2 linked regions of the Drosophila melanogaster genome follow. The gene in region 1 interacts genetically with each later gene. Each region holds a gene or a part of one and is shown in the gene's direction. Other genes may lie near its edges.

What was found. Genes that interact genetically often act in the same process or in processes that back each other up.
Region 2: of MtnA (region 1) and Ctr1B, changing one suppresses a phenotype caused by changing the other (phenotypic suppression), as found in Drosophila melanogaster (one study listed by BioGRID).

What each region holds. Positions count from the first base shown.
Region 1 is NT_033777.3:9,781,260-9,788,529, reverse strand, and holds MtnA (metallothionein A), read left to right. Parts: upstream 1-4,159; 5' UTR 4,160-4,284; coding exon 4,285-4,306; intron 4,307-4,570; coding exon 4,571-4,671; 3' UTR 4,672-5,123; downstream 5,124-7,270. Other genes in the region: CG8500 (uncharacterized protein), read right to left, coding at 1,673-1,945, 2,082-2,153, 2,210-2,395, 2,453-2,623; CG12947 (uncharacterized protein), read right to left, coding at 5,773-5,990, 6,050-6,244, 6,303-6,833. UniProt on the Drosophila melanogaster protein: This protein binds cations of several transition elements. It is thought to be involved in detoxification processes.
Region 2 is NT_033777.3:8,315,858-8,321,786, forward strand, and holds Ctr1B (copper transporter 1B), read left to right. Parts: upstream 1-1,754; 5' UTR 1,755-1,879; coding exon 1,880-1,939; exon of another isoform or gene 1,940-2,149; intron 2,150-2,580; coding exon 2,581-3,045; 3' UTR 3,046-3,348; downstream 3,349-5,929. Other genes in the region: Coq2 (coenzyme Q biosynthesis protein 2), read right to left, coding at 1-533; Poxm (Pox meso), read right to left, coding at 3,953-5,055; Or85a (odorant receptor 85a), read left to right, coding at 5,890-5,929.

The sequences.
Region 1 (7,270 bases):
TCATAATCTTGATTAATAATTTCTCTACTCGAATTCAACAATTTATTTTGTTTTTGTTAAGATCTAGTGGGTAATGTCCCCCCATCTGATTTGTGTTGGCGGCTGTTCTACTTTTATTTGTCCGGCACTGCTGGACGGCGGACCAGCAGCCAAAGTTACCAGTTTGATGAGCAACATCATAATTAATGTAATTACATGCCCCTCTATTTGGCTAATTGGTATAGCAGCGTTTAAAGCATATCATTCACTTAGTCCGATTGGTAAAATTTAAAAAAACTTATCCTCTTAATATCAAACAACAGCAAACTATGCGAAACAATTTGTTCAACTCCTACGCCTACGACTCTACGCACAAGCCAACTAACTATTTAAATAACGAATACCACAATTGGGAACGGTCTGTGTTATGTTATACGTACGTACGATACATCCATCCATACATACATATAGATAGATAGGTAGGTGTTTTAAAAACAGGCAACTTATATCCCATCTACGCTACTGCAAAAAGTGCACCATATGCTCTTCAAATATCCTTCGATGTACGCGTTACTTGGCTCACACGATGAATGCGAATGCAATTGTACTTAAACGTGATTCTGACTTAGGCTAACTCTCTGACTGATCGATCTGGCTACTACTGAGAAAGTTCAAGCTGCTCAATAAAGTTCAGCAAATAAGTGTAAAATTGTACATACATATTTAATATAATACAAAAAACACAATGCCATTGCGAATTTCTTCTTTCATCTGTTTTACGGACTGTGGGCTGTCGGTGTTGTTGGCCTTGAGTATTTTATACATTAGCTTATATGGCGATCGGGGCGAATCGTCCGAATCGGTATTATTCTGGTTAGGTGGTAAATAGTTAAACAGCAATGATAGTCAGGGGGAGGCATCGGCCATTTTCGGCCAATTGCGGCCACTTCCGTTTCCGGTTGCCTCGCGATGCTCTCTATGTGGCGATCACGGAGAAGTCTTACGTTGATGGATCCATGTAAATATTTTGTTATCATATCGTAGTAGATACAGATTCTATGTCTTTAAGTAGGTACTTTGGCTTTCATTAGAGATATTAGTGTATAGCTTCGTTCGATTTCGTTTCGATATCTGGTTATGGAATGGCTGATGGATCATGCAGTATGTATGTAAGTATGTAAACATTTGATATGTATGCCGTTACGTTTCAGATGCGATTATGTGCAAACTTAGGGTTAGTTTCCGTGGTGTGTTTGGATTAGTATATATGTATATATGTATGCAGTACGTGGTATCGTGTCTCTGTGCGACTAGAAAGATCTGATCGGCTCGAATAGAATATATAACCTATGCAAAATATACTCGTAATCGTAATTGCAATCGTGGTGCGACTTATCCAGTCAGTTCCTAAATACAAGTGTCTCGTTATGCATGTAACTCTATATGTGGATAAAGTGGGGATTGTGTGTGGTATGTGGTATGGTGTAAGTGGTGTGTGCGGTGCGTGGTGTGGTGTGGTGTGGCGTGGCCCGTGTGGGTGGCTACCTAAGCCAGCAACCCCCCACCCAAGGGTGCTGCCCCAAGGCGAGTATTTGTCTGTCACCGTCGTCTCCGTTCACTTCAGCTCGACGCAATGTGACCCGGGTCACATGGCCATGCCATCTGGCCATCTGGCTCTTTGGCCATCCGATGCTTACATAACGCGACACTTCTCCTTGGCCCCGCCGCTGGCGCTGGCCCCCGCATCGCCGTTCTCCGGTATCGAGCCGTTCGTGTCCTTGGACTTCTTCTCCTTCTTCTGCTTCTTCTGCTTCTTGGTGTCCAGTTGCAGGGAGACGGTGCGCGTCTTCTCCATGTTGAGCAGCTCCTGAAACAGCTCGGTCACATTGTGGTTCGTCTTGGCCGACGTCTCCATGAACGATATGCTCCAGGTGGTCGCCTGGGCCTGACCCTCCGCTTGGGAGACCTGTGGATGGCACATTTGGATTAGAGGTTTTCTTAAAGAGATGATTTTTCTGTTTAAAATCCCCCTTGAAGATTGTAACTTAGATCTTAGATTAAGCATGTATGTATATGACGGATCAGATGGAACATCCTCTAACCTCTCGCAACTCGGCGGTCTCATCACACTTGTTGCCCACCAACATTACGGGTATGTTGGGAATGTCGGCGCCCTGTGGACACACAACGTATTAGTACATGAGAAATGATTGTCAGGCAGTGGACCAACCTTCAGCTCCTTGATAAGCGCCCAGATGGGTCGCAGCTCCTCCAGACTCTGCTTGGAGCACACCGAGTAGACCAGGATGAAGGCGTGCCCCTTCGAGATGGACAGCCTCTGCATAGCCGGGAATTGATGCGATCCCGTGGTGTCCGTGATTTGCAGCGTGCAGATGTTCTTGTTGCAGCTTATGACCTGTGCGAAGACCAGCGGATTATGTGAGTAATCTCTAGCACCAGGCGTCCCACCCACCTGTCTGTACGTATCCTCGATTGTTGGGATGTAGCTTTCGCGGAACGTGCCCTTTATGAAGCGCAGCACCAGTGAGCTCTTGCCCACGCCGCCGGCTCCAAAAACCACCACGCGGTAATCGTTGCTCTGCTCCGGTGCAGCGCGCGTCACCTGATTCTTCTGCTCCGTCATCCCGGTTACCGATACGGATTCGAGTGGGTCGAACGCGGTCGCGTATATCAAACTCGGAGTGGAAATCGGAATAGAGAGAAGCAGGAGCTGAAGCTTGTTGGCTTGCTGTCGGGCGCTGGTGGAATGTTCTACTTGGGCGCCATGCTTTCGTTTATCTGCAACAATTAAGAGCAAATCAGCTTGGCCACAACGCCCACGCACGCACAACCTTTCCGGTTCGCCAGTTGGTGGATGTGGGTGGTAGGGACGTGATGGGCGTGGGCGTGGGTGGCACTACCACTTTAGGGTCCCGCAACAAAAACAAAATGCGAAAGAAAGTTAACTTCCGAAAGCCGATGGTGATATACACTAGTAGGCATGTTAACACACTTTATTAGTTGAATTGGTTTTAAAATGTATATTCCTTTACACTAAAAAACTCTAAGAACCTTTTAAATTGATAATGAGTTGATTATATTATATATGATTCTATTATATAAACCCGCATAACTCCTTGGTTGACTTACAACTTCCTTATCAAAGTTGATAGAACTCCTTTTTAATAGTATATTTAATAACGGCAAACAATGTGTGTGAGAGTATCCCGCTAATTTTAGACATGTGGCAAGGAAGGGTATTGATTTTTCGCTCCACTGGCACTGATCGGCACCAGCCTCTCCTCATCATTATCGCCACGATTATGATTGCCCATGACCGGGTGCGGTATAAATAGGCCTGCTTTGAAGACAAGTGTCCCATTCGGAACGGTTTTCTATCCCATCCGCCCCCAAACACACACACACACACACAATACACACTAGCCGTAACTGCTCACTTCCGCTTGATTGTCCTGGTGGACCCGTGTGACACCTTTGGCCCGCCCCCTTCAACCGACTCGCCTTGCGATTTTCCGACGTTTTGTTTTCCCGCACACTCGTTGTTTTGTATGTGTTTTTTTTTCCACCTCGTACACCTCACGCGCTTTGCTCTTGGATTTTCCTCGCTTTATTTTGGCTTGGATTTATCGATTTTATCTGCACTGCACTTGCCACCCACACGCGAGAATCGAGGGAAAAGCCAGTAATGGCCACCGCATCCATATACCCGTTAATTGGGATGGCCCCAAAGGATCTGTGGGAGTCCCAACTATTGCGTAGCAGTATTTACTTGCATTTCGTTGCACTGGAATTCGTTGCAGGACAGGATGTGGTGCCCGATGTGACTAGCTCTTTGCTGCAGGCCGTCCTATCCTCTGGTTCCGATAAGAGACCCAGAACTCCGGCCCCCCACCGCCCACCGCCACCCCCATACATATGTGGTACGCAAGTAAGAGTGCCTGCGCATGCCCCATGTGCCCCACCAAGAGCTTTGCATCCCATACAAGTCCCCAAAGTGGAGAACCGAACCAATTCTTCGCGGGCAGAACAAAAGCTTCTGCACACGTCTCCACTCGAATTTGGAGCCGGCCGGCGTGTGCAAAAGAGGTGAATCGAACGAAAGACCCGTGTGTAAAGCCGCGTTTCCAAAATGTATAAAACCGAGAGCATCTGGCCAATGTGCATCAGTTGTGGTCAGCAGCAAAATCAAGTGAATCATCTCAGTGCAACTAAAGGCCTAAATAGCCCATACCTACCTTTTTTGTAAACAAGTGAACAAGTTCGAGGAAATACAACTCAATCAAGATGCCTTGCCCATGCGGAAGCGGTAAGTTCGCAGTCTGGTGTGATCCTTTAGGATATCACAGATCTTTCAGAGAAATGGTATTATACTAGTATAAAAATTCAATGGTGATTCAATAGTATAAAAATTCAAGCTGAAACTATCTGCAAAGTGAAATCTCTGAGTTCGTCTCTCTAAGAAAAGAAGTTCTTCAACTGCGTTTTATAAAATGGAACACTAATGTTATATGGCTTATGGATTACAGGATGTACCAGCATGTACTAATTTTTAAATTCTACTTCTTTCCAGGATGCAAATGCGCCAGCCAGGCCACCAAGGGATCCTGCAACTGCGGATCTGACTGCAAGTGCGGCGGCGACAAGAAATCCGCCTGCGGCTGCTCCGAGTGAGCTTTCCCCCAAAAAAGATCTGGAGTAGAGGCGCTGCATCTTGTCTCTCTACACACCCTGCAATAAATGTCCAATTAAAGTAATTGATGCCTAACTGCGTCTTTTCGGGTTGCATAATCAATTGGTCTGCGGCATTCTAGGTTAGATTCGCTTTTATTGGAGGTAGCTTCTAGCTACGTGGTCGGCAATATGCGTCGTGGAAATGGGATGGTCAAGTGTTTTCCACAATGTGCATATACATATGTACATAACACTAAAGTCAGTTGAGCAATATGGTAATCTGAGATGCCTCACTTCTGAAGCGACTGAGGGATTGAGTTTCAAAGCACAGCGGCTTGAACTCATGACTTGTAGATAAAAATACAGTTGCGGGCGTTAGAATATAGCCGCTATCGAATGGATAATATTAAAGAATACTAGCTTTAGAAATAATAAAAATATATTACCCTATCAAATTTAAAACGATTTTAGGCATAACAACGAAATGGGTAATGAAAGTTCATATTTAAATCGGCTTCCATTATTTTATAGGTGATTCATAGAAATATATGATTGTAGACTTATTATTGCTCAGTCTGTTTTGTGAAATGCCTCGTTTATAGCGCAAAAGTGCCATATAGTTTTAGATGTAATATGATCGCGCAATTAACATGAAAGTGTAAGAACCCGGCATATAAACGATATACCAACGAAATAAGTCAAGAACAAGAACCCCACGGCAGTCGGGTGAAGTGACCTAGGAGGCGTAGGGTTACGGGAGACCTCCACCTCAGACCTCCAGTGGAAAAGCCGCAGATGGAGTTTATGGTTCGTATACATACATATATACTTTATTTACTTTGCTAGCCTACGAATGCAGCTTAGGTCTAATACTAGGCTAGGTGAACAATACTTAATGGAGAATTACGAATGGATGGGGTGCGCAGTATACAAAGGTGCATACATATGTATGTCTATGAATGGTATGGGTGTGGGCATATCTTCTTTTTGGTTATCAGCGTGGCCAAACAAACCCGGGCGAGATTTCACGGCGGTTTCGAAATGGTTCTGTCGAAGGTGCTCGACGCACGTTGAAAAATAGTGGGAAATTCACGGTTCGCCCTACTTGATAACGATATTCTGTGCCAGTCGCTTCACGAAGTCCACGTTGAGAAAGTTGGCCATCAGTGTGAGCACGGACTTCTTGGGCGGCCGGCAGTGGCGCAGTCCCGCCTCCTGGCAGCACACATTCGGAAAGCAATCCAAGGTGGAGGTGCACGCCTTGGGATGAAGGTCAAAGATGGGCGGCGGCGGGGCTGTGCACTCCAGGTACTCTGTAACTGGAAAAGCGCAAGGCTTCGATTGATTTCGGTTATCATACGGAAAACTTTTAACTTACGATAGTCGAAGGATCGCTTCACTGGCACTGGAGCTGTTTCCAACTCCGGCTGCGAGGTGCGGCAGTATCTCCTACGCCCATCCGGGCAACAGACCCTTGGCCAGCAGTCCATGTCTGTGGAGCACTCCTGGACGTCCCACCAGAGCTCGGCGAGCGGTCTACTCGGGCACTTGCGAGGTATCAAGCCCAGAATGGCTAGCAAGAGCAATAAATTGAATAATATCTATAGCAGCTAAGGATTAAACCCACTTACGAGCATGTGGAGTCTCCTCTAGCGGCTTTGGAACGCCAGAGACACAGCTGCTTGCTCCAAAGATATCACAGCACAGCTCATCCCGTTGCCACACGGCACAGTCTCGATCCGCCTTGCAGATCTTGGGGAATAGCTGGAACCTCACCTCGTTCTCCCGCGGACAATCGAACCTCAAGCGCAGCTCGGCAGCCGACCTCTTGCCCTTCTCCGTTTCCCTATCCCTGTTCTTATCCTGGTTGTCGCGTGGGAAGTTCAAGGTGGGCAGTGCAATGCGAAAGGGTCCATCTGTAGTGGGTTTTTGTGTGCTAGTTGTTGTTGCGCTTCGACTAGTTGTACTCGTTCTCTGATCCATCGGTTTCCTAGTGGTCTTGGCCACTTTTCGTTGGCCGGACTTTTCGTCCTTGGGACTAAACTTTTTCGGCGGATGGGCCTGCTTGGTGGGCGGACGCACTGCCACCAGACTCTGCTGGCCGAAACTCCAGAAGTTCCGATTAAAGAAGTTGAAGCCGTTGGCCAGGCTGGGACGCGGAGCTGGGGATTGGATGTGGAAAGCGGGTTTACCAGTGTGCTTAATGACCATTAGTGTTTCTGCTCCAAATAGCAGACATTACACGTCAAGTAAAGCGCAGTTCCCGCCGCTCATGAAGAGCGTTTGATTTGGCTTTTTTGTTTTTTTTTTTTGTTTTATACTTCTGTTTCGTTATTAAGCCAGGCCAACAATGGATCAGCAATAGCGCAGCCTGTTGGCAAACGTTTCCCACCCACTCCATGCGCTCCATAGACCCAACGCAATTGTCTACTTGGCTGCTTGCAACAGCAGGTGGACGCAAGTGAATCACCCGCGAAAACGGCCATACTACCCAGATCATTACTCCCTATGTTAACGAGATCTTCTTCGAGAGCAATTTGATGGTATATACTTAAAATTTCCAGCTCATAAAAGTAGCTAATGGAGAAGTAGCTTAAAT
Region 2 (5,929 bases), 1.5 Mb from region 1:
AAAAGACCCAGACTGAGCTGCGCCGAGAGGAATACTATGGCATCGAACTGACTGATCTGACCCGAGGCCAAGGGCCGCAACCTCGTGCGCTCCACTTTGGCATCGATGTCCTTGTCCCAGAGATCGTTGATGGTGCACCCGGCGCCGCGCATTATCAGTGCCCCGGTGCCGAACAGACCCAGCATGGTGAGGTCCGGCCAGCAGCCCGCATCCGCGCTGAGCGCTATGCTCCAGGCGCAAGGCCAGAAAAGGAGGTAGGTGCCAATAGGCCGGTCGATTCGCATTAGTTGGGCATAGGGTTTGGCGGCCGACACGAGTTCCTGCAGCGGCGTTTGCTGCTTCACGGGCTCAGTGGCGGTACTCGAACTCCTGGAGCATACATCCTGCAGCCGGGACTTATCCCAAGTGCTCCAATCTCCAATCAGAACACGCGCTGGTTGCCGGGGCAGCATGTGTTTTGTTGTTGCCGCCGCTGCATAAGAGCTGCGGAAGTGCCTAGCGCTCTGGAGTCGCAGGTGTCGAAGCGCATACATTGCGATTTGCCTTGCACTAGCACCTTCAACGATTAAAGCATTAAGTCACACGATGTTAAGTTGTATTTGTTCGTAAACTCACAGTCAAAAAATGGCAAGATGTTTAATGGAACTTTGGTTGGGAATGTCAAAGGGCTGCCATCCGGGTAAAGGCAGACAAAGAGTTGCCGGATAGATGAAAAAACAATATGATCCGGTGGCACTGCTGCATTTGGCGATAAAAATTTGAATTTAAGTTTCAAAGACAAATATATTAAAGTTGTAAACAACTTGTGTTAATTGTTAACTTTTGAGTTGTGTTTCACCAAAGTCATATTTATATATCTAAACACAGAAGAACATATGCGGAATGTAGTTCTTCGTTTTACCAATACTAATAACTAAAGCTTCTTTACAGTTATCTCCACCTAAGCAGTTTAGCAAAAGCTTTTGCTCTCTTTTTTGCGTAGACCCAACCATTTACCCCTCTGCAATATCGTTAATGTTTTGCGCACGTCGCCCATTTTTCGAAATTGGCACACGGCGCAGGAATGTCCGTAGAATTTATGCACACGGCCGCAGAAGGTTTGCGCACGGCCATCAATTTTGGCGGCATTCTATCCCAGTTAGAAATAGCACAGTAAGAAATAACACTCTAGGAAAGCCAAGTGGACTAAGGCAGACCTCCGGCGATCCGGCGGCCGACGGTTGCTATCGCTCCCATGCCGGAATATGGGCATATACCTACGTATGAATGTACTCGACTAGAGCCATAAAACCGTGATCGAAGCGAAGAAATAATGGAATTATTTCAACATCATGTATTACAGCAACAATTTCAGGGGGTTGTATTAGCCCATGATTGATAATCTGAATTGCAATAAATTCTGCACACGAATCGATTGTCGAACCTTTGCCATGAGTCCATAAATTAAGCTGCAAACCGCAGAGAAACCCACGACGCATCAATTATGGATTTTATCTCTCGAGATAAAGATCTGCAACTGATACCCAGAATATATCTTTTGATCTGACCTCTAACACTGAGATCTGCATGCATTTATGTTTATTTACATGACTGTATCTGGGCTGCCTTTCTTAGTGTGGGGCGACTATCGTTGGTATCGCCGCTACTGGGTGATAACGCTCTTTCCCATTGCCCATAGATAAGCGCACTTTCCTATCGCCGCGTCGGGGGATTAGGTGCGATTTTCTTTAAAAAACCACTCGCGAGCAGCGGGTTTCAAGCAGTCAACGCTCTGCTCTCAGCACCTCAGCAGGTCTAGCTCTTATCACTGTGCCTCCCCGATCGCCAGTCGGATTTTCCACGCCTTCTATCTATATCTATACTACACCAGCAGCCCAAGATGGATCACGGCTCGGATGACAGCACCAGCACGGCCAAGTCCTGCCCTATGATCATGGTGGTGAGTACGCAGTTACACAACTCCTGTGTCCAACAATTTTGATACAAAATCACTTACCACTGCGCTAAACGCTGTAATTTAAAAGTCACTCATCCAGTTTAGCTGAATGAGATTTGCACGGAGAGCAAACAAATATCTCGTCCGACTTGGAATTTGAATTCTCTGGCTAGTCACTCCCTAGTATAAGTTCGTATAAGTATGTTTATGTGCCAGAAACCACAACGAATTATTCGCTCTCTAGCGCTTTATTCGCTCTCAGCAAATACAAATAATACAAATTGAATATGCTCGAACAGGGTGTCTCATGAATAAAGATTCATGGGTTAAATTATACCGCTGTAAGGGAATTATAAAAAAGATGTTTAATTCGAATGTTATGTTTATGTTGATGTTTAATTGGAAAGCTTAAGCTTGATATTTTATAAAACTAAAAGTAATATTAAACTTTTGTATTAAGGATCATCTTAGCAAAAGTGACCATATAGATATACCTAGATATTAGATATCTAGGAATCTAGATATAGATACGAATTAGAAAGTTATTAAGTGGTAATTAGTGGTAGTTAACTGGTATTTAAGCCTCATCTTACTGATCTTATGGATTCTTATGTAGTTAATCTTTCACTCTCGCATCCTTTCAGTTCCACGCTGGACACTGCGAGCGAATTTTGTGGCGCGGATGGGTGGCGTCCACTGTGACGGAGTTCGTGCTCTCCGCCCTGGCCATCTTCCTGGTGTCCTTCCTGTATGAGGCGCTCAAGTTCCTGCGACAGCAACTGGCGCGCAGGGAAGCCCGTCGAGCAAGCGAGCAGCTGGCGGCGGAGCAGCGTAGGAAGAACGAGGCTCCGGCAGCCGGAGGATGCTGCTCGGAAGCTCCCCTGGCGGAGCCGAGGGAGCAGACCTACTGGCAGCGCTTGTTCGCCTCGTCGCACATCGTCCAGTCCCTGCTGAACCTGCTGCAGATCGTCATCTCGTACCTGCTGATGCTGATCTTCATGACCTTCAACTACTGGCTGTGCCTGGCAGTGATCCTGGGACTGGGTCTGGGCTACTTCTTCTTCGGCTGGAACAAGAAGAATCCCGACGAGAGCGAGTGCTGTCCTTAGATCAAGAATATCGCTCTTAATTGTTTATATATCTTGCAATTGTTATAAACTAAGCCCTTATCAGTTCTTGGTTCACACATCAAAGAAAAAGTCCCGTCCCCACGTAATTATACAAATTGTTTAAAAATACAATTTTATTCGATAGTTACACTTGGTTTAATTGTTATTGATGTAATCGTAGCATAAATTAGTCAACTAGTTTACTTAATGAGCATATTGTACAAATAGTGTAGTCATGAGAACAAGAACCTATACAACGCGTATTCATCTAAAGCGATTAAAGTACTACTCAATACTTTTGACTTTACAATATGTTTTTATAAGCAATACACTTTATTTTTGACCACCCCGAACTCAAAACGCAAACAATCCGATATGAGACAAAAAAGAAGGCAAAGTTAAATCTCCAGGATTACATGAAATTCGTTATGAAATGCGAACATTACCAGGTCTGAGTCCTGACAGCCCACAACTCACATTTGAAGGCCTAACTAATCACGATACTCACCTATCACACAATAGTACATATTTTAGTTTAGTTAAGATCTTGAAAAATCTTTTTAACAAATATTTTAGCTGTGATACATCTGGGCAGGTAATATAACTAAGCAAACCTTATGATTATGTGAATCATCTCGCACACATTTTTTTACGACACTTTATCTATTTGTACTTGCCTAACCACACACCAGTATTTGCAAGCTTCTTAGTTAAAGTTTAAATTATTTTGAAATTTCCGGGATAATTATAAGTTCTTTTAGTGCATTTGTTTAAAATTTGAGTGACAAGTGAGCGCCATGATGAGACCATTCCCTAACTAGCTCTTAGACTAGAGTAACCTAGACTGAACAACCGCGATCGAAAGTAGCTAGACCCGCAACCAATCCGCTGATTATAGACCACCCAATCATAAGCCCGTGGCTCCAGCGGCCATCATTCCGCCGTGATGATGGTGGTGATGCATTCCGCCGTTCTGGAAGTACATGTAGTAGTTGTACGGCGACTGCTGTCCCGCCCCACCCTCGCAGTCGAGCAGTGGCTGACCACCGGCCGTTCCCGCCACCGGCGAAGGAGTCATCGGCAGCGGGGATACCGTACTGCCCATGCCGCCCATTCCACCCACTCCGACGCCCACTTGGCAACTGGCGCGCAGGGCAACAGCCTGATGGTGGGCCAGGATATCGCTGACCGAGTGGGAGGAGGGCCAGTGGGCGGCAGCGGCTGCGGCGGCCACACTCCTCAGCTGGTGGGGATGGGGCACTGATCCCTGACCGCCCGCTCCCTGCGGCGGGGATGGACTTCCACAGGGCGTCTTCATGCTGTAGGCCGCCGCAGCACTGTACGGCTGGTAGATGGAGTTGTACAGGTGGGCGTGGGCATGGGCGTGGGCGTGCACATGATGGGCACTTGCCGCCGCCGCCGCTGACTGATGATGATGATGGTGGTGCGGATGGTGCGGTCCACCGCCGGGATTACCCAGATTGCTCAGATTAATATTATTGCTGGCACTCGTGCCATTGTTTTGTCCACCATTGCTGGACACACTGCCGCCACCGCTGCTGCTTCCGCTGCCCATCACCGTTCCCGGCGTGTGCTGATGCCCCAGGCTGCCCAACTTGTTGCGCAGGATTCTCGATATGGAGCTCACACTGGGTACATTCGTTTTGTCGCATATGCCCTCGCTGAGCAAACGGTCCCGGATTTCCCACGCAAAGATGCCGGGATCTCGCTGCTTCAGTTCCCTGATGTAGTTGACCACCTTGGGTGTGGTCACGCGCGGCTTGGATCCCCCAATTGCGCCGGGTAGTATGGAGCCCGTTTCGTGGTACCTGGCCAGGATCTTGGACACGCAGCCGTGACTCACTCGCAGCTGGCGCGATATGTCGCAGGGTCGGATGCCCAGGCGGGCCAGCTCCACGATCCGCATCCTGGTCGCATTGGGCAGCGGACGGCCGTTGACAAAGACGCCGCCCAGCTGGTTCACCTCGCCATACTGCGGACACTGCGACTCTGCAAAGAGAAGATTGCGGATTAGTTAGGTTGGTAACATAAAGGAATAAAGGAAGTGTCTATACATTTTAACATAAATATGAAAAACTGTTTTCGGAAACTGTTCATATGCCAGAGTATGCCACAGTATCATCCGAAAGCTATTCCCGGTTCCCAGTACAAAATGCGAACAAAGAGCGTTGCCTGGGAATGGGAAGGCGAACAAAAGCACATTTGCGTCTAATTAGTTTCGGTGGCAAATGAGTGAGCCGAGTGGCTAGGAGTGGGACCTGCAGAAGCGGTGGAGCGGCGGAGCGGAGGAGGATTGGCGAGCGGCAGCCCAAGTTGAGTGGAGAGCCGTTTGTTCGGCTGAAAATCGCTACCATTTGCTTCTTAGAACTGCGGATGTGGGTGCCCCGATTGTGACTGGGAAAACACAATTTGAATGCCCGGAACGTGCGGAAATGCACTTTGAGCGATGACGCAAAGATTTCCCCTTGGCGCATAGAACACTACTTAAGGATAGGTGCACATGGGTGTATCCTATTCTTGAGATTGAAGAATGATTAAGGTTCAGCAGAGAAGCTATTTTCACAGGACCATAAATAAAGTAATTAACAACCACTCCTGCGAAAGGGACAATATGGGAACAATTGTCAATTATTTAAGACATGAAGACACACCCCTCAAAACAACCTGTGCAATTTTGCACGCAAATAAAGGCGGTTCTTTTCGTGAATAACTAACTAGCATTGGACAATTAAACAACGCGTATAAATGCAACTAGTTTAGGGTACTGCCCTCAGTCTTCAGGTGACAAAGTTCAAGTCAATCGAAACCTCTAAACTTTCAAAAATGATTTTTAAGTACATTCAAGAGCCAGTCCTTGGATCCT